Linked DNA regions of Ovis aries. Each later gene encodes a partner of the first gene's protein in a complex. Links are inferred from orthologs where the notes say so. Each region holds a gene or a part of one and is shown on either strand. Other genes may lie near its edges.

The links. The genes of interacting proteins can lie anywhere in the genome.
Region 2: KANSL1 (region 1) and KANSL3 share a complex: the UniProt entries of both Homo sapiens proteins name them as parts of the NSL complex. The link is inferred for Ovis aries from reciprocal best matches to the Homo sapiens genes KANSL1 and KANSL3.
Region 3: KANSL1 (region 1) and OGT share a complex: the UniProt entries of both Homo sapiens proteins name them as parts of the NSL complex. The link is inferred for Ovis aries from reciprocal best matches to the Homo sapiens genes KANSL1 and OGT.
Region 4: KANSL1 (region 1) and KANSL2 share a complex: the UniProt entries of both Homo sapiens proteins name them as parts of the NSL complex. The link is inferred for Ovis aries from reciprocal best matches to the Homo sapiens genes KANSL1 and KANSL2.
Region 5: KANSL1 (region 1) and PHF20 share a complex: the UniProt entries of both Homo sapiens proteins name them as parts of the NSL complex. The link is inferred for Ovis aries from reciprocal best matches to the Homo sapiens genes KANSL1 and PHF20.

What each region holds. Positions count from the first base shown.
Region 1 is NC_056064.1:45,912,781-45,916,875, reverse strand, and holds the start of KANSL1 (KAT8 regulatory NSL complex subunit 1), read left to right. Parts: upstream 1-1,291; 5' UTR 1,292-1,318; intron 1,319-1,542; exon of another isoform or gene 1,543-2,118; intron 2,119-2,873; 5' UTR 2,874-3,015; intron 3,016-4,095. UniProt on the Homo sapiens protein: Non-catalytic component of the NSL histone acetyltransferase complex, a multiprotein complex that mediates histone H4 acetylation at 'Lys-5'- and 'Lys-8' (H4K5ac and H4K8ac) at transcription start sites and promotes transcription initiation.
Region 2 is NC_056056.1:103,860,307-103,864,324, forward strand, and holds the start of KANSL3 (KAT8 regulatory NSL complex subunit 3), read left to right. Parts: upstream 1-1,210; 5' UTR 1,211-1,678; intron 1,679-2,277; 5' UTR 2,278-2,327; coding exon 2,328-2,542; intron 2,543-4,018. UniProt on the Homo sapiens protein: Non-catalytic component of the NSL histone acetyltransferase complex, a multiprotein complex that mediates histone H4 acetylation at 'Lys-5'- and 'Lys-8' (H4K5ac and H4K8ac) at transcription start sites and promotes transcription initiation.
Region 3 is NC_056080.1:64,199,984-64,204,129, reverse strand, and holds the start of OGT (UDP-N-acetylglucosamine--peptide N-acetylglucosaminyltransferase 110 kDa subunit), read right to left. Parts: upstream 2,809-4,146; 5' UTR 2,613-2,808; coding exon 2,576-2,612; intron 1-2,575. UniProt on the Homo sapiens protein: Catalyzes the transfer of a single N-acetylglucosamine from UDP-GlcNAc to a serine or threonine residue in cytoplasmic and nuclear proteins resulting in their modification with a beta-linked N-acetylglucosamine (O-GlcNAc).
Region 4 is NC_056056.1:137,502,110-137,506,287, forward strand, and holds the start of KANSL2 (KAT8 regulatory NSL complex subunit 2), read left to right. Parts: upstream 1-1,370; 5' UTR 1,371-1,401; intron 1,402-1,980; 5' UTR 1,981-1,996; coding exon 1,997-2,247; intron 2,248-3,241; coding exon 3,242-3,420; intron 3,421-3,907; coding exon 3,908-4,022; intron 4,023-4,178. UniProt on the Homo sapiens protein: Non-catalytic component of the NSL histone acetyltransferase complex, a multiprotein complex that mediates histone H4 acetylation at 'Lys-5'- and 'Lys-8' (H4K5ac and H4K8ac) at transcription start sites and promotes transcription initiation.
Region 5 is NC_056066.1:64,945,084-64,949,244, forward strand, and holds the start of PHF20 (PHD finger protein 20), read left to right. Parts: upstream 1-1,353; 5' UTR 1,354-1,396; exon of another isoform or gene 1,397-2,682; intron 2,683-3,484; 5' UTR 3,485-4,161. UniProt on the Homo sapiens protein: Methyllysine-binding protein, component of the MOF histone acetyltransferase protein complex.

The DNA of each region.
Region 1 (4,095 bases):
AAAAAGTTAAGAACTCTGCTTTTTTAGTATTCTCTTGGCTTTTGCTCTTGGTTTTTTAATTTAAAAAAATTTTTTTAAATTGAAGTATAGTTGATTTACAATGTTGTTAGTTTCAGGTGTATAGCAAGCTCTCATTCTTATTTCATAAAGCTAAAGAGGGTCCCTGAAATGAGTCGTACCATCTGTGAGGTTCTCATAGTTTTATTGTTTTATTTTTCCAGAGACCCTTCCTCCCTTAACTTTCATACCTCTTCACTATTTGTTTTTCTTATCTCACCAACCATCTTTCTGTTTCTGTTCACCCGCCTTACTTTACTGTGGATGTGTTTTTATGTTTCTATGGGGAGTTCTTCCTTTAGCATGTCACTGATTGCCATATTATGTGAAGAACTCTATCATCTCCCCAGATTATCCACCCCCTCCTGAATTCCATAACTGCAGTTTTCCCTGAACACTTCTACTTGGTTTTACCCCTGCTATCTGGAAATGAACATACTAAAAACTAAAATTCCTCACCAAGTCTTCATGCTGTCCCTCTTTGTCCGGACCACCATTTTAACTGTCCCCCTGGTTTTGCCACCTTATAGTTATTTTAAAATTAAGCCACGTAATTAAAAAAAAAAAGGAAAAAAATCAAAATCTTTAAAATCAAAAGATACAAAAGGATATATAGTGAAATGTAAGTCTTCCTCACACCTGATCCCCTCAACTCCCCTCCCAGAAGGAAACCACGTTACCAGCTCTTAGAGTGATTTTTTTATTCTTTATTTTGGCTATATCTCAGATGTGTGTCCTTTCCTCTCCAGGCCCTTGTGACCTTATATCTGGTTGACTTTCTATATAAGTATTTGTATGTGTGTATTTTATATACATATATAAAATCTCCCTCTGTGGCCTTCCGGCCTCGAGTTTTCTTCACAACGCTTCCTGGATGAAGAACCTACAAGGGTGAGGGGCCGGGGTTGGGGGTGATGGGGAAGAGGATCTAAAGGGGACTTAGGTAGTGGGTTCGGAGTGACAGACTTGCGGGAAGCTCTGCCAGGATCCCTGTTTCTATTTCTGCCACCTGAGGCCCATTTCCAGTCCTCTCATCCAAATGTCTCTCATTTCCAAGCTCCGAGACAGAGACAGCGAGATACACAGAGACAGAGACGCCAAGGCACCAGCATCCCTCTCCCCTTCTGTCCCGCCCCACCACTCTGACGGACATTCGCCGCCCGCCAATAGAGATACCTATGTTCCCCGGAAGGGCCAATGAGAGATAGAGGAGGGCGGAAGATTCCCCGCCCCCACTTCTAGGCTTGGTTGAGCTGTGCAGGTAGGTCCGGGGGCCGGGGGAGCCGCCGTTGGCACTGGGGCCCCGGGGGGTGGGGGCACGAGTCGGTAGGGGTGATGGTGGGGAAGGGGAGGCGGCCCCAACGGCGGGAGCCCGAGGGGGTGGCCCGGCCGGGAGGCGGGGGGCCGACGGGCCCGGGGAGCGGGCGCCGCCGAGGGCCCTGGAAGCGACTGGGCTGGGGGAGCGGGGACGCGTGTGTGGGGCATAGGGACCCCCGCCCCGCGCCCACCCGCAGGCCTGGGCCTCGGGCTGCGGGCAGAGGGGTCGGGGGCTTGGTACTCGGGGGGCGGGCTGGGCCGGGCCCGGGGCCGGGGGCGCCGAGCACAGCCCGGGGCGCCAGGCCGAGCCGAGGTGGGACGGACCGACGCGGAGAGGAAGGGAAGCTGCATCCCGCGGGCCGCCCCCTTCCAGAAGCGAGCGGAGCAACGGCCGCCGGCGCCCTGCCTTGAGCCCCCTCTCCCTTACGCCCCCTCCCTAACAATGGGTTTGGGGCAGAAGGAGTCGCCTCACTGCGGGAAGGGGGGGTCTGTTTGGGACTGGGGTCTAGGGTGGGGGGAGGGGTGGGAACTCGGGCTCTCCCCTTTCTCTTCGCCCCTTAGCTCTTGCGTTGGGGATTATGGAGGGGCTCTTAAATCCTTCCCGGACTTGGGTCAGAAGTCAAACTCCCCCCAACCCTCCCCCCACCAAAAAAAAAAAAAAAATTCGACGAGCGTAAGGAAAGTGATGCCAAGTCTTCGACGCCGAAGTGACAAACGCATAGCAAGAACAAATCCACTCCAGAGGTTTTTATTTTTAATTTTTCTTAAAAATGAGGGTACTGTAGGCTTTGAATTTTTAAAAATTTATTTTACAGAGGTGGGTGCTGTTATTTTGTCCCTAATCGGGCAAGCCTCCATTTTAAGCGAAGCAGTAACTGGTTAAGCTGGAATTTTCATTCAGGCCTAGGACGAGAGCACGAATCCTACAAGAGGTCATTTAATCCATCCTCCTACCTCCACACAAACTTGGCTCAAAATTGTTTGGCCTGTTATTAAAGATTTCTAGGAAAGAAGGGTCTTTTATTTGTAGCACTTCAGTCAAGAATGGCTATTATTTTTCCACATAGAATGGGCTCTGCAGCTTAAACTCAAGAAAATTTAGGACAATCAAAATGATCAGAGAGGGTTTAATTTATTAAAACTAAATGTGGCAAGGGCATTTTTTAGTGATCAGATAAAAAAATCACTTTTTAATAGTGTTTATGAAGTAACCCTGGACAATCATTTTTCTATTTGAGAAATAATTCTAATAAGCAATTTTATATTATCTGAAATATGTGTTACACATTTAATCCAATTTTATGGAGAAATATATTTCTTCATACCTGTGGAGAAACATACACCACACGCATTTGTCCTTCTCCAAAAGGAACAGTTATTTTCTACATTTTTTTAAAATGGTGAGGCAAATAGTACTTTGAATCTCTGTCCAGATAGTTTAAACTATATGCTTATTTTTGGATTATTTTTAGTCTAAATGAAAGTCCTCTCTTTTTCAGATACCTTTTTGAAACAAAAAATTTTCCTATCTTCTCATACTTGGTGGCTGGGGAATTACTAAGACTCTATTCTTGCTCGTTTCTGAGTATTATTGCCTGAACTACTGCTGACACTATGAATGCTACTTGGATGCCTCTTAAGGTAAGATGTGTGTGTGGTTTTTTTTTTTTTTTTAATTATAAAGGTCTCGTTTTATTATTATTATTTTTTAGAATTGAGATTTTTTTAGTTTTTGAATTTGCAGTTTTTCAACCGTCTTACCTGACATTTCTTTCCCTTGTGTTTGCCTCCTAGAACTGATTGGTTACTCCTTTGTATTGCTCCTGTCCTTAATTATTGGTGTTAAAATATTAATGAAGTTCTCAAATTAACTTTCATGATAATGATGTGTTTATTTTTTAGCTTTAAATTATGACAACCCCACACCGTTGTAAAATTCTGTTCCAGTCTCAGTAGGATGGGCTGGCAATTCAGACAGCCGGGTCCACTTTCAAACAGGTCCTTTAGTATCATCATAGGTGTTAGGGTGTGTCCCACTCTTGCAAATCTGTAGCTGATTCATGTGTTACAGAAGATGTGTCACTAGCCATTTATTTACTCTGAAACTTGATTGATGTTTAGAACATTCTAAGACCTGTTTGTTTATATCTGTAGCTTTGTGGGAGTTTTCCTGCTATTCCCTAGTCCTTTGCATGCAAATTTGTACTATTTTTCTCAACAGGTAGCACTTTGTGCCATATTTCACCTCACAAGATAAACCTCTTTGGGGGCAGTGTGAGAACACGATCTTTACATGAAAAAGCTCCCAATGATGTGGTTGTTCTCCTTTCTCTTGGCTACTTCCAGTTTCTTGTACTTAAATGGCCAGGAAACTCTCTCCATTAAGAAAGACTAAACAGAGGATAAAGCTTAAGATACATGCAGGGAGGAAAATGGGAGGGAGGAAGGATGGGGAAGGGTAAGGAGTAATGGAAGCCCCCACAAGCTTCACTGGATGGTACAGGTGACTTCCTTCAGAGCTAAATACTAATGTAGTTAGATTTTTGTCTGTTAACCTGCCCTGTGGAATTCCAAATTAATGCAGTGAATACGTCAGGTATTAATGCAGTCTGTGTAAACTAAACACTTGGATTGCGGGAAATTTTTAGGTAAATGTAGACTGAGTTCGCATCTTCATTTATGTTCCAGCTGCTATTGTTGGCTGAGGAGTTCTATATTACT
Region 2 (4,018 bases), on another chromosome or scaffold:
TCTGTCCTCCCCTTCTCCTCCTGATTGGCTAGATGGATCTCCTTGCAGTCTAAGGGACTCTCAAGCGTCTTCTCCAACACAGTCCAAAAGCATCAATTCTTCGGCGCTCAGCCTCCTTTACAGTCCAACTCTCACATCCATACATGGCTACTTAAAAAACATAACTTTGATTAGACAGACCTTTGTTGGCAAAGTAATGTCTCTGCTTTTTAATATGCTGTCTAGGTTGGACATAACTTTTCTTCCAAGAAGCGTCTTTTAATTTCATGGCTACAGTCACCGTCTGCAGTGATTTTGGAGCCCAAGAAAAAGTCTCTCACTGTTTCCATTGTTTTCCCATCTATTTGCCATGAAGTGATGGGACCAAATGCCATGATCTTAGTTTTCTGAGTGTTGAGTTTTAAGCCAACATTTTCACTCTCCTCTTTCACTTCCATCAAGAGGCTCTTTAGCTTTTCTTAGCTTTCTGCCAAAAGGGTGGTGTCATCTGCATATTTGAGGTTATTGATATTTCTCCTGGCTATCTTGATTCCAGCTTGTGCTTTATCCAGCCCGGCATTTTGCATGATGTACTCTGCATATAAGTTAAATAAGTAGGGTGACAACATACTTGACGTACTCCTTTCCTGATTTGGAACCAGTCTGTTGTTCCATGTCCAGTTCTAACTGTTGCTTCTTGATCTGAATACAGATTTCTCAGGAGGGCGGTAAGGTGGTCTGGTAATTCCCATCTTTTGAAGAATTTTCCACAGTCAAAGGCTTTGGCGTAGTCAATAAAGCGGAAGTAGAGGTTCCCTTGGAGAAGGCAATGACAACCCACTCCAGTACTCTTGCCTGGAAAATCCCATGGGCGGAGGAGCCTGGTGGGTTGCAGTCCATGGGGTCATGAAGAGTCGGACACGACTGAGCGACTTCACTTTCACTCCTCACTTTCATGCACTGGAGAAGGAAATGGCAACCCACTCCAGTGTTCTTGCCTGGAGAATCCCAGGGACGGGGGAGCCTGGTGGGCTGCCGTCTGTGGGGTCTCACAGAGTCGGGCACGACTGAAGCGACTTGGCAGCAGCGGCAGCAGCACGGGCTCCCTTGCAGCTGCATCGTTTCCGGGTTTTGCGGCTCACCGCCCCTCCCTTCCCAGCTGGAATCCACTTCCGCACTTTGCTCCGTGCCCTGGGCGCCGGGGCGTGGAGGCGGTAGCGCGCACGCGCACAGGGATCCGGCCCGGGCCGAGCGCGCGGCCGGACGATTGCGGGTGAGGGAGAGTCGGCCCTGGCCGGGATGGCGGGCCTGAGGGGTCGTGGTTCGGGTCGGAGCGGGCGGGGGGTCTCGGCTAGGATCTCCTGGCTCCCGGGGCATGCGGGGGCCGGGCGCTAGAGCCCGGGTCCTGGCGATCTGGGTCGGACGATCGTGTAGGGCCGGGGGCGGGCTCGGGCCGCCGTGACGCGGGCGCTCAGCCTGGCCGGGGCGGGCGGGAGGCGGGTGCGAGGCGGCTCCTTCTTGTCGCGAACTCTCTGTGACCTTGGCCAAGTCACTCCATCCCCTTGAGCCGGCGCCTGCGTCTGTGAAGTGCGAATTATGAGCCCTGCCTGCCTGCTGGAGCGGTTTTGAGGCTCGGGGGCGGGACCCCCGAGGGTACCTGCGGTAGAGGGCGGTTCCCCGGGGACCACCCGGGCCTTGGGTGAGGGAGAGGGGCCTTCCGGGCGTAGCATTTTGTTACAGGCTTTGGGAAGGACCGCTCATCTGTAGATTTTTAAAACTCCAGAGCATTATGAAGTAGTTACAAAACTTGTTTAACACAAAGGAGAGAGGTCAGGGCTTCCCCGAGGCCCACGTTGCGCAACTGTTTCAGCAATGCTCACGCTCCGGCCGGAGACGGCTCAGTGAGAATGGTTCGCAGCCGTCGAGACCCTTAGCTGTGGAATTAGTACTATTTGTGATTCCTCGTTTGCCAAAACCCGTTGCGCCCACCTGGGAAACTGTGGCGCTGGCCAAGCAAGTCTAGTATCTGTCCACGTGAGGCAGTCCTCCAGCTTCCCAATGGACCGAATTGTAGAGACTGAGGATGGAGGGGGCGCCATAGCCATTTTGGGTGGTGGAGTGGGAACTCAGGAACCCTCCCGACGCGGGCAAGGGTCTGCAGTGTGACAGATATTATGTAATTATGTAATACGCAACTGCCAATGGTAGAAAGTCACTAACATAAGCCTATTAAGATGTTCTAGGTTGGAAGAAATTCAGAGCATTTGAATTGACTTGAACTGAAACTTTTCGCCGCAGGTGACTAGCATGCAGATAACCGTTCTCTGACCTGCTGCCCCTCTTCTGACATGGCCCACCGCGGTGGGGACAGGGACTTCCAGACTTCAGCGCGGCGCATGGGCACCTCTTTGCTCTTCCAGCTCTCGGTGCATGAGCGGGAACTGGACCTGGTGTTTCTGGATCACAGCTATGCTAAGCCGTGGAGTGCCCACCCCGATGCCAGTAGTGCCCGCCCCACCCGCATGCTCTTTGTTACTCCTCGGAGGCAGCACGAAAGTACCATGTGAGTTTGGCCTTCTCTCCTATGGGCTGCTGTCACCCTAACTGGGCAGTAATCAGTTGGGGATTAGAGTGTATTTTATTGTGGGAGATTAGGGATGGGGTGGGATGTTTAATTTAGCATCCTTGTTAACCATCCTGAGGATGTCAGGCCTCTTGGTGAACATCTGGATTCAAGACATCTAATGAGTTAGGAAGGCAGGATGTTCAAAGGAAAGCGAACAGCTGATTACATTTAGGATAAGAGGACTTGTGTGGAAAGAGGAATTGAAGATGATTATTTAAACGGAAGAAAAAGATGGAAGAGTTGACTTTTAAAAATTGTCACATAGGATTAGACTCATTCCTAAAATAGCCCAGTGTTCTGGCTCCAACACTGGGGAATAACCTTTTCATGGTAATTTGGTTTGTTTTTTCTCCATTCACCTGCAAAGCTTAGGAGCACATGCCCACGACTTTTCTTTCCCTCTTAACTTGTTATGGAACTGTCACCATGGGTTGATCTTAATCCTTCTGAGATCTGGTTGTATTTTCAGCTTGCCTACGTAATAGGGTCGGGAATTTTTTCATAAACTTACCATGTAATATGTGATACAGTTACATTTGGTCTGTGCAAACTTGTTTAGCAATTCTTTGGAACTTTAAGGCATTCTGATTACGTTGGAACACAAGGTATTTCAAGATTTAGTGATATATTCTATTTTGATGATAAAATCATGCCCTTAATAATTTTATAAACTTTTTGGGGGAGGAGTTTGTTTTTGTTTGTCTCAATCTGACCTGATGTTTAATCTCTAGCACAGGTTTTAGGTTTGCTGGAAAACAGAGATCTTGTGCTTTGCTTCTTTAGATCCACCAGTGAGCCTTAATGAGCTATAAGTGCCATGACATGTGTGTGTAACACATGTAGAATAGTGGTTTTTATTTCATTTCCCAGCGAGAGCCTCATTTTGTTGGCCTATTTTGGATGTACAGGTCACAGGATCTGTGATTTTAGAGAATAATTGAGCATAATCCTGATGCTTCTGATCAAGGGCATCACTGAAGAGCTCTTTTGAATAGAATTGCAAGTCTCTCTTTTAGTTATGTAATAGCTTCTTGCAAGCATTGAAACTCCTGTATTTAAATCTCATGATTATTTTCTTAAAGTGAGATTTTGTGGACTTGGTCATTTCAGCACTCAGAAAATTACTTCCTCTTATAGACTGGCTCCATATATGAGCCCTATAAGTGGGAGTTTGGCGTATTTTAGGAGCTCTTTTTAGGCCACTGGATCTGGAAGGTGGTTGCAATGGGAGTGTAAGTGGGAGCTAGGGGAGAAGCTGGCAGGGGCTACCTCATGTAGGAATTTGATTCTCAGAGTTGGTAAGAAGTCATTGAAGGATTTTAAGCTAGAGATTAAATTTATATTTAAAAAGATCACTTTGAATTTTTGTTTAATAGATGATAGTGCTGAAGTAGAATAGATAAGACCTGGCTA
Region 3 (4,146 bases), on another chromosome or scaffold:
TCCCACCCACGATGGTTTAACACTAGCATTTTCTAAAGAGCTCTGATACTGACTAAAAGGACTAAAACACTGCAAACAACCCTGTATAAACCTACAACTGCAATGAATTTTTTAAAGAATGGAGAAATGCTAAAATATAAAACCATTCAATAAAGTGCAACTAAATTAATAATAAATGAATGTACTTTGCTGTGTGTAACTTTGTTCAGATACAAAAAGATAAAGAATATACAGCTAAAGCCCAGAGATGGAAAACAACAACAAGCTGCCTAAGTCTCAAGTGTAAATACTTTAACAATGATACATTACTTGGGAATTTGACCACAGTACTTCCAGGAGACAGAGTAAGAAACTTTCTACAAATTAAATACTTAAATTCTACCAAGCTCCAAGTGAGAAGCTAATATTGAGCCTAGACCCTCAATCATTAGACCTGGCAAATGAACTGTATACTCAGGAAAGTAAAGTAAATTTCCTAACAAGGCACAGCTAGCTGACCACTAACGTTAAGAGCAGAGAGACCTGCATCCACATTTGTGGACGGTTATACCTCTTATGGGCTTCCCTTGTGGCTCAGCTGGTAAAGAATCTGCCTGCAATGTGGGGAACCTGGGTTCGATCCCTGGGTTGAGAAGATCCCCTGGAGAAGGGAAAGGCTACCCACTCCAGTATTCCGGCCTGGAGAATTCCAGACTGCTATTGTTTCCCAGCTCACTCTGCTTCTGTTCAATTCGGTCCCATTTATTTTGGGGCTTCCCTGATGGCTCAGATGGTAAAGCGTCTGCCTGCAATGAGGGAGACCCGGGTTCGATTCCCGGGTCGGGAAGATCCCCTGGAGAAGGAAATGGCAATCCACTCCAGCACTCTTGCCTGGAAAATCCCATGGACGGAGGAGCCTGATAGGCTACAGTCCATGGGGTCGCAAAGAGTCGGACACGACTGAGCGACTTCACTATTCACTCTATCTATTTTAAACAAGTCTCTAGAACTCCCTTCCTTGCTCCTTATTTTTAACCCATACTTTATCAACTTTTCAAAAGCCGCCTATCTGCTATTTTAACACTAGAAATGACAACTTTCTCAAATAAAATAACAGGCAGAAAAGGGCAAGCAGGGGCTTCATTGGTAGTCTAGCGGTTAAGACTATGCGCTCCCAATGCAGGGGGCACAGGTTCCATGCCTGGTCCGGGGAACTAAGATCCCGCAAGCCGCATGGTGCGGCCAAAAAAGAAAGAAAAGGGCAAGCTAGAACAAGAGAATCTAGGACAGACTCTTAAATCTTTAAAAAAAAATCCCTGAGCGAGAGGGGAACACTACCAATCTCACTACCTACAGTCAAATATAAGATACAATTGAAGATTCATCTCTTAGTGCACAATGTCCAAGAACAATAAAACCCTTGACATCTCAACTGAGAAACCAACAAAAAAATAACCTCGTGGGAAACCTTAGAACCGCAGCCCAATCCCCCCTCCCTCCCGCCCCAAACAGCCTCAATACGGAAAGGCAGCTGAAGGACACCCCTATAATTTGGAGTTTTCTTATTTTTAGTACTAAATGCTCTCAGACTAATTGTCTAAAAGGGCAACCGCCTTGCACTTGTGCAGCTACACTCCAGTTGCTTTACAAACTCTTCAAGCAGGGATGAAAACTCAAAAAAATATACCCCCTATGAATAAAGAAATACCGGGCTAAAGAATGGGGATGGAAGACCCAGAGACAGACGGCGGCGGAGGAATACAAGGACAAAGTAACACAAAGCGAGAATTGGGCGGGCAGGATGGTCAACGCCGAAGCCCCCGCACTAGAGTGGTTTCTCCCCGAGGGTAGGAAACGGACCGCAGGGCTGGCAACCACGCGAAGGAAAGGGTGTGGCTCCCCGCGGGAGCGGAGGGAGGACAGGGTGGGAAATCCAGGCTGGGGGCAGCGAGTGGAATTGGGAGATGGCAAAAGAAACCCCTGGAAATTTCCAATCGAAACCGGGGCCGCTCAACCCAAGGCACAGCACACAGGCGCTGCCAGGCGCGGTGCTGCTCAAAATCCCCTGCTGGAGAGGTTACTCGGAGCGCACCCAGGAGCTTGCGCTCGTCCTTGGGGTGATGCAAAGTGAGGATACGATTACATTGGAACGGCACCTCCGCCCTAGATTGACAGAGGACCACCAAATCGGGCTAAAGGGAGCGGGGTGGAGGGGGAAGAGAAGGGGGCGGTGAGCTGAACTGGGGAGAAAACGACTGCGAAGGAGAATGAAAGGCAGCGAGAAGGGCAGGGATTCCAATGCAGTCCATTCTGAGACAGTCTAAGCGCGCAGGTGTAGAAGGGTCCCGAGAGAGCAGAAGGCTAGAAAATGTATAGGATTACAAAGCAAGAAAGGAAGCAAAAAGCAAGCAAGCGAGAGAAAATGTTTTAGGAACGGACGACAGCAGAAAACCCAGATCAGATGCCGCTAGACGCCGAAAAGCTTAGCGATGCCACTGATGCAATGGGGATGGCCAGAGGGGAGGGAGTGATGAGAGGCAGAGGACGGCGCGAGACCCCAAGGGGGCGTCTGCCAAAGTAGAACAGACACCGGTACCTGTGCTGTCGGCCACGTTGCCCACGGAAGACGCCATCTGGAGCTTCTAGAGCGAGTGCAAGAAGGGGGTGATTGAATCCTGCAGCCGCCACTACTGGCAATAATGTTTCTAGAGGTAGGAGCACGAGGGCAGCAGCCGTACCAGTGCTTTGGCAGGCTTAAGCAGCAGCAACAGTTACAGCTTTCGAACCCTAGAACTCTGGTTGGCCATCTACCTCTCACGGTCTTGAAATGGCGGCGACGGCTCCTCGGCCGAAACAACACGGACCGGAACTACTTTCTGTTACAATCAAGTACCAGCGCGGAAGTAGCGCGGTAACCAGTGCTACCAACAAAATGACTATAATCAAAGTCAATCGCTCCTATGTAACCTTCCGCGCAGGGCCCATTGCGACAAACACGATTATGTCTAGAGCGCATGCGAGCAGCCGTGTCAGCCCGACTGGCTGTTAGGGCACTGTCTGGGACAGGAGCCACCAAGTTTTTTTTACTAGCGAAGCGGATGGTTTAAAAGAAACTATACACTTGAATGACACTTTTGCCAGTGGTATAGTCTGCTGCTGCTGCTGCTGCTGCTGCTGCTGCTGCTAAGTCGCTTCAGTCGTGTCCGACTCCGTGCGACCCCATAGACGGCAGCCCACCACGCTCCCCCGTCCCTGGGATTCTCCAGGCAAGAACACTGGAGTGGGTTGCCATTTCCTTCTCCAATGCACGAAAATGAAAAGTGAACGTGAAGTTGCTCAGTCGTGTCCGACTCCCAGCGAACCCGTGGACTGCATCCCACCAGGCTCCTCCGTCCATGGGATTTTCCAGGCAAGAGTACTGGAGTGGGTTGCCATTGCCTTCTCCATGGTATAGTCTACTACTTAGCAAAGAGCATAGATTTTAATAGGAATGCCAAAGGCGTATACAGGTTTCATCAACTTCATTCGTATAGTTGAAAGATGATGAATCAATTCTGAGCAAGTAAATCTAAATGGTTATATTTTCAAAGTCTAGAATTCAAAAGAGAGAGTTCCAATTTGAACACGTGTTAGTTCTGATTCCAGCCATTGGTTTAAGCACTTTGATTAAAAGGATTGAGTTTCTCAGGGCCAAATGAACCCAAGCATCTCAGATTTTGGCCATATAGCCCAAAAGTTCCAAATCCTCTTGGTTTCACGATAATTTTGCCCACAGTATTACGGCAAATGCTTCACAACTCAGGGACATGCTGACAGTTTGCACTGCAAAGGCAGCAGCCATAAAACTGTTAAAGATTCATATTCTTCAAAATCCATGACCCTTCCGAGTTGACTTCATTTCCACCACATTGCTTTGTGAATTGTTACAATCAGTGATACCATTTAACTCAAGGCAGCTCAACAATGATAAATTGATTCATTTGCCATCTACCTAAACCACACATCTAGAGACTAAACTGCTGCGCTTCCTTGAACAAATCAGTTCTTTATGATCCTCCTGCAGTTTCAAGTCCACTGTTCAGACGTTTTGTCACATTTAGTATTAATTTATATTGCATCTCTTGTTCCAGAAAGGATTAAAGTAGCTTGCCACATTAGCAAGAAATT
Region 4 (4,178 bases), on another chromosome or scaffold:
ACCTAGTCCCTAATGCCTCTTTACATTGTTCTCTATAGTAGTTTTAATTTTCCTTTTTGATATCACTGCATTTGGTTGAAGATTCCCATGTTTTCTGTAATGTGACTGCCTCTACTAGTTTTAAATTATAGGATGTTTATAACAAATCTCTGTACTTCTGAGGGTTGGAGTGTTTGCTTATGTATGTAACACAGTCCTGGTGAGATGAAATGCTTTTAACTAAAAATTCCTTAAAGGATTATAAGATTGGGATTTATCTGCCATTCTATATACCTGCGTTATTTAGCATGGAATTGTAGAGAAGCAAGGCCGCAACTAGAACTCATTTACTCAATTTTCTTAGAACTCAATTTTCTCAGTCCAAAAAGTGAAAAAAAGTGAAAGTGAACTCCCTTAGTCGTGTCAGACTCTGAGACCCCGTGGACTATAGCCTACCAGGCTCCTCTGTCCATGGAATTTTCCAGGCAAGAATACTGGGATCTTCCCGACCTAGGGATCGAGTCTGGGCCTCCCGCATTGCTGGCAGACACTTTTACCATCTGAGCCATCTGGGAAGCCCTCTCAGTCCAATGCACTTCACGAGAGAAGAAAGGGGTAAAGAATGAGTTAGTCACTCAGTTGTGTGCCACTCTTTGCTCCCCCTCTCAGCCAGGCTCCTCTTGTCCATGGGATTCTCCAGGCAAGAATACTTCAGTGGCTTGGCTTTCCTTTCTCCAGAGGATCTTCCGGACCCAGGGATGGAATCCGGGTATCCTACACTTAATGTGGATTCTCTACCGTCTGAGCCACTGGGGAAACTCAGAATAAAGGCTGGGTTCAAATTCACCTCGCCCTATTTACTAGATATGGGCCCGTTCTATTCGTAGTTTCTAACTTCTTAGGGTTCTGAAAATTAAAAGTTTATATGTGTAATTTCCTAGGCTCAGTAAATACTTGAAAAAAATGTTTCCACAAATGAAGTGTTCACGAAAAAAAACTAAAGCCTTTTCCTGTATAGACAATGAGAGTCAAATGTACAGTGATTCTTTGGCCTCTACATGTCGATTTTGTTGTACCGACTATGTAGGGGTGGTGAAATAGCTGCAGCCTAAGATCACACACAGAGCGCCCCAAATCCGCCTGGACATCAGCTACGGTCGGAAATGTAAAGAGCTGTCCCCGCCGACCCACAACCCACGCTCCCTCCGCCTCACTCTCTCCAGAGCTGAGTTGCTGACAGACACCTCATCTAGCCACCCAGCCTCGCCGTTTCCCAGCGCCCCGCCCCCTGAACTCTATAGATAGCCAATGGTGACACAGAGTCGTAGGCTCAGTATCCAATCAGTGGCTGGGAGCCCGGAAAGGCATGGTTAGAAGTGGCTGGCGCTGCCAGAAAGCGAGTGGCGCGGCTCAGCGGCAGAGGTAAGATGGCGGCTGTGCTTGCTCCTCGGTTTTGGAGTTAGGCTGCTGCTTCGCCCCTTCTGTTTGTTCCGAGCTGCTACTCTGTCTCAGTCAGCGTCAGGGGCGCTTTACTCCTCTTGGCTTCCAGGACCCAGATTCGCCTGTGCTTGGAGTCTTAGGACAAAATGGCGCTTGCACTGGCCTCCGAGGATGGGCAGGGCCCAGCGTTCAGCTTTGAGGCGGGCCGGGACAAAGGCGGCATGCGAGGAGGCGGAGGCCAGGGGTGGGGCGGGTGGGTCTGCGGCGTTGCGCCGCGGCGTGCGGCAGGAGCTGGCGCTTCCGCCTCTTGCTGCTTCTCCCTCGTGTGGCGACCGTGCGAGCCCTTGAGATACTTTCAACGTGGCTGTGGTCGGAGTTGGGGGAGGGCTTGGACAGAGAAGTTGAGATGAGGCAAATTCAGTAATATCTTGGTAGACTTGGGCGGAAGGCAGTTAAGGAGCGTGACTTCGGCCTGGCGTTTTAGAAGCCGCGCGCAGTCTGCCCGGGTATTGTGGAGCTGGGCTTTTCGGGAAGGTTAAAGGCTTTTTGATCTTTGTGCAGCCCTGCAGGTTTTGGTATGAACAGGATTCGGATTCACGTCTTGCCGACCAATCGGGGGAGGATCACCCCAGTGCCCAGATCTCAGGAGCCCCTGTCTTGTTCGTTTACTCATCGTCCATGTTCGCAACCTCGTCTGGAGGGGCAGGAATTTTGCATTAAGCATATCCTTGAAGACAAGAATGCGCCTTTCAAGCAGTGTAGTTATATATCGACGAAGAACGGAAAAAGATGTCCCAGTGCTGCCCCAAAGCCTGAGAAGAAAGATGGGTATGTGTGTGTATATATATATATATAGAGAGAGAGAGACAGACAGACAGACAGACAGATAGATAGATACTGTCGTATGTACTTTTAGTTTTTAAGTGAGAGGAAGATGTGCCAGGATGTGGCCTTGGAAAAAGTCGCCAAGTTTTTTAGGCCACGTGTTTGTAAAATTGAAGTTACGGGTATATCCTTGGAAAATTTTTTAAAATGGTGAAAACGAAGAGACATCTCCTAGTTGGGCCGTTTTATTATCTCTTTGGCAATTTTACCTTGTGAAGGTTTCTCAGTCGTGTCCCACTCTGCGACCCCGTGGACCATACAGTCCATGGGATTTTCCAGGCCAGGATACTAGAGTGGGTAAGCCTTTCCCTTCTCGAAGGGATCTTCCCAACCCAGGGATCGAACCCAGGTCTGCGGCATTGCAGGCAGATTCTTTACCAGCTGAGCCACCAGGGAAGCCCTGTAAAATAAATTCTTAAGCCTAGGTTCCATGGCTCTTTTGGCTGTCCTTGAATCTTAGGTAATGCAAAATTGTATACATGTGTATTTTTTTTAGGAAAAGATTTCATCATTTAAACTATCCATGCACAAATAATTTGGCTAGATAATTCTGCATTGTGTCCCACATCTTACTACCTACAATGGATTGATTTTGAAGTGTTATAAAATGTAAAATTGCCTCCCAGAACCAATTTTGAGAGATGAAAGTGGATCAGTGTGACTTGTTGCAAAATGATACCAGCATTTTTATAGTTGGAATATTTCCTTAGATGGATAGATCACTGGAATATGTTAACCTGCATTTCCCTTCAGTAATACCAAATGAGTTGACCTTGCCCGTTAAATTACTCTGCCTCACTAGCATTTTTAGTCTATAAATGAAGATAATAGTCATTTTGATTGCCTGAAAATGATCTAAAGATCACTGTCTGTGGAAATCACTGAACTCTTGTAAGAGGGAGCATGAGTATGAAACGTTAATATTTTGTCTCCTTAGGGTATCCTTCTGTGCTGAACATGCTCGGAGAAACGCCCTGGCACTTCATGCGCAAATGAAAAAGACTAATCCAGGGCCTGTGGGTGAAACACTCTTGTGCCAGCTGAGCTCGTACGCTAAGACAGAGCTGGGGTCTCAGACTCCAGAAAGTAGCCGCAGTGAAGCCAGCCGAATTCTGGGTGAGGATCTTCTTTCTCATAATGAAAAAACAGGAAGAAAGTTAACAAAGAACTTTGGTTTATCTCAATGCCTTGAACATATGTGGCACTTGAAAGTACAATATTATTATTAATTCATTGCCAGTTTGGGAGAATTCAGGACTGCTGCTGTTCACCAGTCTTTTTGGTTTTAATTAGTGTGTGCTTAGGTTTACTTTATCCTGAGTTTATGACTCTTTCAGTGCTGTTTTTATACTTTACTTTGTTAGGTAAGATAATTTCAGGAAACAGAATAATTTTGAGTTGACCTTTCTGTCTTTTTGAGGCTATGGTTAACTCATTTGTGTTATAAGTACTTATACTCAGGAAGTATATTTCTTTGCCAGTGCTTCTGTATTAAGCATTTTTAATTTTAAGATTTGGATTGGTGTGTTAAGTAATCTAGTTTTGTGTGGTGGAGTTACAGAGGTGGGAAGTCTTAATGGCTGCTCTCCCTTCCTTGCCTCAGATGAAGACAGCTGGAGTGATGGGGAGCAGGAACCCATTACTGTGGATCAGACATGGAGAGGTGACCCTGACAGTGAAGCTGATAGCATAGACAGTGATCAAGAAGATCCCCTAAAGTAAGTTGTAACTCCACATAGGGCTTTAACATATTTTAGAAGGTAGTATGTGGATTGTAGTACTGCATGCTGTTAATAGATTAATAAGCTAGGAGGGTTGAAGATAGCTTAGCTATTTGTGAGCAGTAATAGCTTCTGCATATTGAAGTGTCATTA
Region 5 (4,161 bases), on another chromosome or scaffold:
CAATGAACATCTACTATTTGTCAGGTTCTGACAATGCAGTAGATACAAGATAGTCCCTAACTCTAACTCAGGGGGAAAAAATAAAACAAAGAGAACAAACCAATTAAATAATTACAAACTGTGTTAAGTGCTCTGCTGAAAACAAACATTGATAAGGTAGAGAGCAATTGCCCTGTTTGAAGCAGGAGATCAAGGGGAGCACTTCTAGATTATGTGGTCAAAGAGGGCCTTATTGAGGAGATGACAAACTGAGACCTTTTAAAGAGTCTTTTAAAGTCAGTTTTGCAAAAAGTAACAGCTTAGTCAATGGCCCAGTGCCTGGAAGGACCTTGCAGAGAACCACAGAAATGACAGTAACTTAGTATGGCCAGACAGTTAGCAAGGGTGGAGGATGTGACAGAAAGGTTGGTTGTTTTAAGCAAGGCGGTGACATGATTATATTTACATTTGAAGAGGTGTAATCTAGCTGCCCTGTTTTTCCAAGGTAAAATAAAATCGTTATTGCCTTCCTAAATAACAAATATTTAGCATTCCTCTTTGGAACTTCCCAAGTCCCACTGGGAAAACTTTTCAGACCCTTTGTGGGTGGCTGCAACTCCGACCTTGGTCCCCGGAGATAGAATACAGCTTCTCTTCCCACTAGCAATTGGAATCCCTTCCGAGGAGTTAATGAGGTAAGGCGCAGAATGAGCGGTTCAGAGACTCTAGGTCGGGAAGGAACCTGACTTGTGTGAGGACTTGAAAGCCGCTTGAGAAAGTGGAGGAGTTGAATGCGCGTGAATGTGAGACAGGCAAGTTAGTACAAACTGAAAAGTCTGGCAGATAGGCTACGGTGAAGATTTAGATCTTAATCTGAAGAACAGTGGGCAACGGGCTTTGAGCATGAGGATGGCTACGAACAGAGTTGCGTCTTGAGAAGCTCTTTCTGTCGGAGCATGAAGAACGGATTGGAAGGAGTAAGTGTGGGTGGTGAGGACAACCATCTGATGGTGGACTAGACTGGAGCGTTGGCAGCAGGATGGAGAGAAGCAGGAGGCTTCGAGGCGCATATAGGAGGCATAACTAACAGATGACGGATAGGGTCCAGTCCCGGGCTTCGTGTGATCACAGTGGCTATGGGTGAGAGGGGACTTCGTGCTCCGGATCCAGGCGCAGGCCGGTTCCCGCGCGTCAGGGCAGTGGGCGTGGCTCGCCCGAGCCGTCGCCACGGTGATCGGGTGGGGAGGGGCCGAGGGCGGGGCAGCTGAGGAGCTGCGTCACTCGGAGGTGGCGATGGTGCGTGTGTGTGGGGGGCGGGGGATACGCTGGGCGCGTCCCGGGGGTCACGTGGTGCGCTGCACGCAGAGTCCTTCTGTCGGTTGGTCCTGGAGCGGCGCAGCCGGAGCGGGGCTGTGAGGTGAGCTCGCGGCGAGGCGCGGCGAGGCGAAGCTGGCTGGCTGGGGCTGGGTCGGGCCGGGCCCGCGCCGCGCGCGCGCGCGCGCCGTGCGGGCGGGGACGGTGACGGACGCCACCGCTGCTCCGGTCCCCTGCCCGGCCCCGCTCCCCGCCTGGCCCCGCTTGCCCTGCCCGGAGGGAGGCCCGGGGACCGCTGTTGAGAGCGTGGCGGGCGTGCGAGTGGCGCCCAATCCCCAGGGTTGCCTGCGGGAGTGACGGTGGTTAAGGCCAATCAGCGCCGCCTGAGGAGGTTGGGCCGCGGGGTGCGGGCCCAGGGCGCGGAGCGGGCCGTGTTGCGGGTGGGGGGAAGAGCTAGGGTCGGATCCTGAGCTTGTGTGGCCCCCGAGAGCTCCACCAACAACCCCTGCCCTTGCCTTGTGCTTTGGGAACGCGTTTTCTTTTATAGCCTCTTTAATCCTGTTCTGGGGAGCACACCCCTTTCTCAAGCCCCCGACTATGGGAGTGTCCCCTTTCTCTGTAGTTTTTAGAAAATGTGATCGGTGCAACCCTCTTTCTTAAACTCCATCCCTGGGATTTTATCTTAATTTCCAAAGCTTCCCCAACTGAGGATGGTACCCCCTGACCCACGACCCCCAAATTGGGAGGACACTCCCTTTACGTGTCTCCACTCTGAATAAATGTCCGCTTTCAAATCTGAGGGTTCTTCCCATTTAGCGAGTTTCAAATCTGGGGTCCAGTGACCAGTTTTGGGGGTACTTATGGTCCCACAAATTCAGGGGAGACTTCCCTTTTCCAGGCCTGAAATCTGGCAGAATGCTTGTCAGAATGTCTTAAATTTAGGGGCCGATTCCTTTTCCCAGCCTTCCAAAATCTGGGAGAGCACAGTGTCCAGAGTCTACCCGAAATGAAGTCCAAATCCTGAAATTTTAAGATAAGTGTTTGTATTTACACAGGGAATTCACAGCTTTTCCCAATCACTCTATCCTTGGGGTTCCACCCTTTTTCATGAGTTCTCCAAATCGGACCACCTTATTTCCAGATTTTCATATCTGAAAGTGTTTCCTGCCCCACCCCCACCCTCCACGCTCTACTTTTGGTTACACAGTTCTCAGCCTGCAGCCACCGTCCTGATGTTTGTTAAATCTGGGAGGGCACACCATTTTTCTTAGTTTGCTCATTTCCAGAAAGTGGTCCGTGGTTCTTGAGCTTTGCAGCCATCGGAGAGACTTTGTTTCCTCAGCTTCCCTTTTTGGAGCCCCATTTTCCTTTAGGTGCTCTCCCTGTCAGGTAAGTGCACCTTTCGTCTTCCTTCCTCTGGTGAATAAATATCTTTGTTCAGCATGGCACTTTGTCTGCTTCTGTGGCCTTTTCTCTGTACTCACTTCCTATAGTCTTACCTCCTGAAGTCCCCTCCCCCTGGGGGAGGATCTCCCCGCCCATCCCAAAGGGGTGCCTGTATGTTTTCTTTCATATGTCTACTTTATCTTTCATCTTTCTGCTAACAAGAACTCTCTCTTGGCTTGCTCTATCCCGGGGCATTTTTGATTCCTTTCTTCCTTTGGACGCTGCTCTTGCTTACTGGTGGCTGTAAAGATAGTCCCATTTCTTCCCCTTTCTCTGGAAGTAGCCTCAAGTCCAGGGCTGCCTGACTCCTCCCCAGTGCTGGATTTAAACTGAAAACGAATCCCCCCTTGTATTTCTTTGGTTATTCACAGGTCTCTTAATCCTCCTGATGGTCTGCTGCTTATAAGATTCTGGTTAGAAGGATACTGCTTCATTTCCTTTCATTGGAAGACAAAACAAAACAAAAAAACCCTCCAGAGATTCTTAGTCTTGCTTCCAGCTCCTAAAGCTTCCTCATTGGCTCTTTTCCTTCTTTTTATCAAGAAAAGAGGTCTTTTGGAGGAATCTCTTGGTCACTCTTTTTGTTCCTGGAGTAGAGGTGGGAGATGGATCTTTATCTCTCTCTGTGATCCTCTCACTTATCTGCCAAACCTTGCCCCTGACCCCCACCTTAAAATCTGCAAATGTCCTCTCCTAAGAGCCTCTCAGTAGGCTCTTTCTTTTGTATTTCCCTCTGTCTTTCCAGATCTTACTCAGGGCTTCTCAGCCGGAACCGAACCAGATTAATTTCTCCACAGCTGGAATCTCAAGTGCTTATGGGATAATGACACCTCTGACCTTTCTCCTTTTGGGAAGTACTTGAGTGTGCAGCTGTATGAGGCCTCAGGGCGGGAGAGAGTATGAGCCTGAGAAGCAACCCTGACAGGACAAGGCAGAAAAATACTGCATTTTCAGGACCACGTCCTTCTGAATCTCATTTGAAGATTGGATGTTTGCCAAGCACCTGCTTCTCAGTGATGCTGGGGGATTTAATGATACTCCCAGGAACCTGTAGGAATTAATGGGGCTTGTGAAGTGTGCTGAACTTTGTGTTGGAACTTGAATAAAATGAATAATTTTATTGTATTTTCAGAAGAACTAAGCTTTTTTATATTTCATGTGCATGAAAACCCCCGAGCTGTGTTATTTCAGGAAGTGAAATAGATCCCACATTTATATCATATGATCATTAGTAAGTACCAGATTCATTAAAAAACACTATAGGTCTATCTGAGCAGTACCTAATAAAATATGGTGTACAGAAAGTGAAGAGGTACTTTGTATCTTATTTGCCTGATTGGTACCCTATCTATGTACTGCTATATATAGTTCACCCTTAAAGTATTCTACACCAGTGCTTCTCAAACTTGAATGTGCAAATAA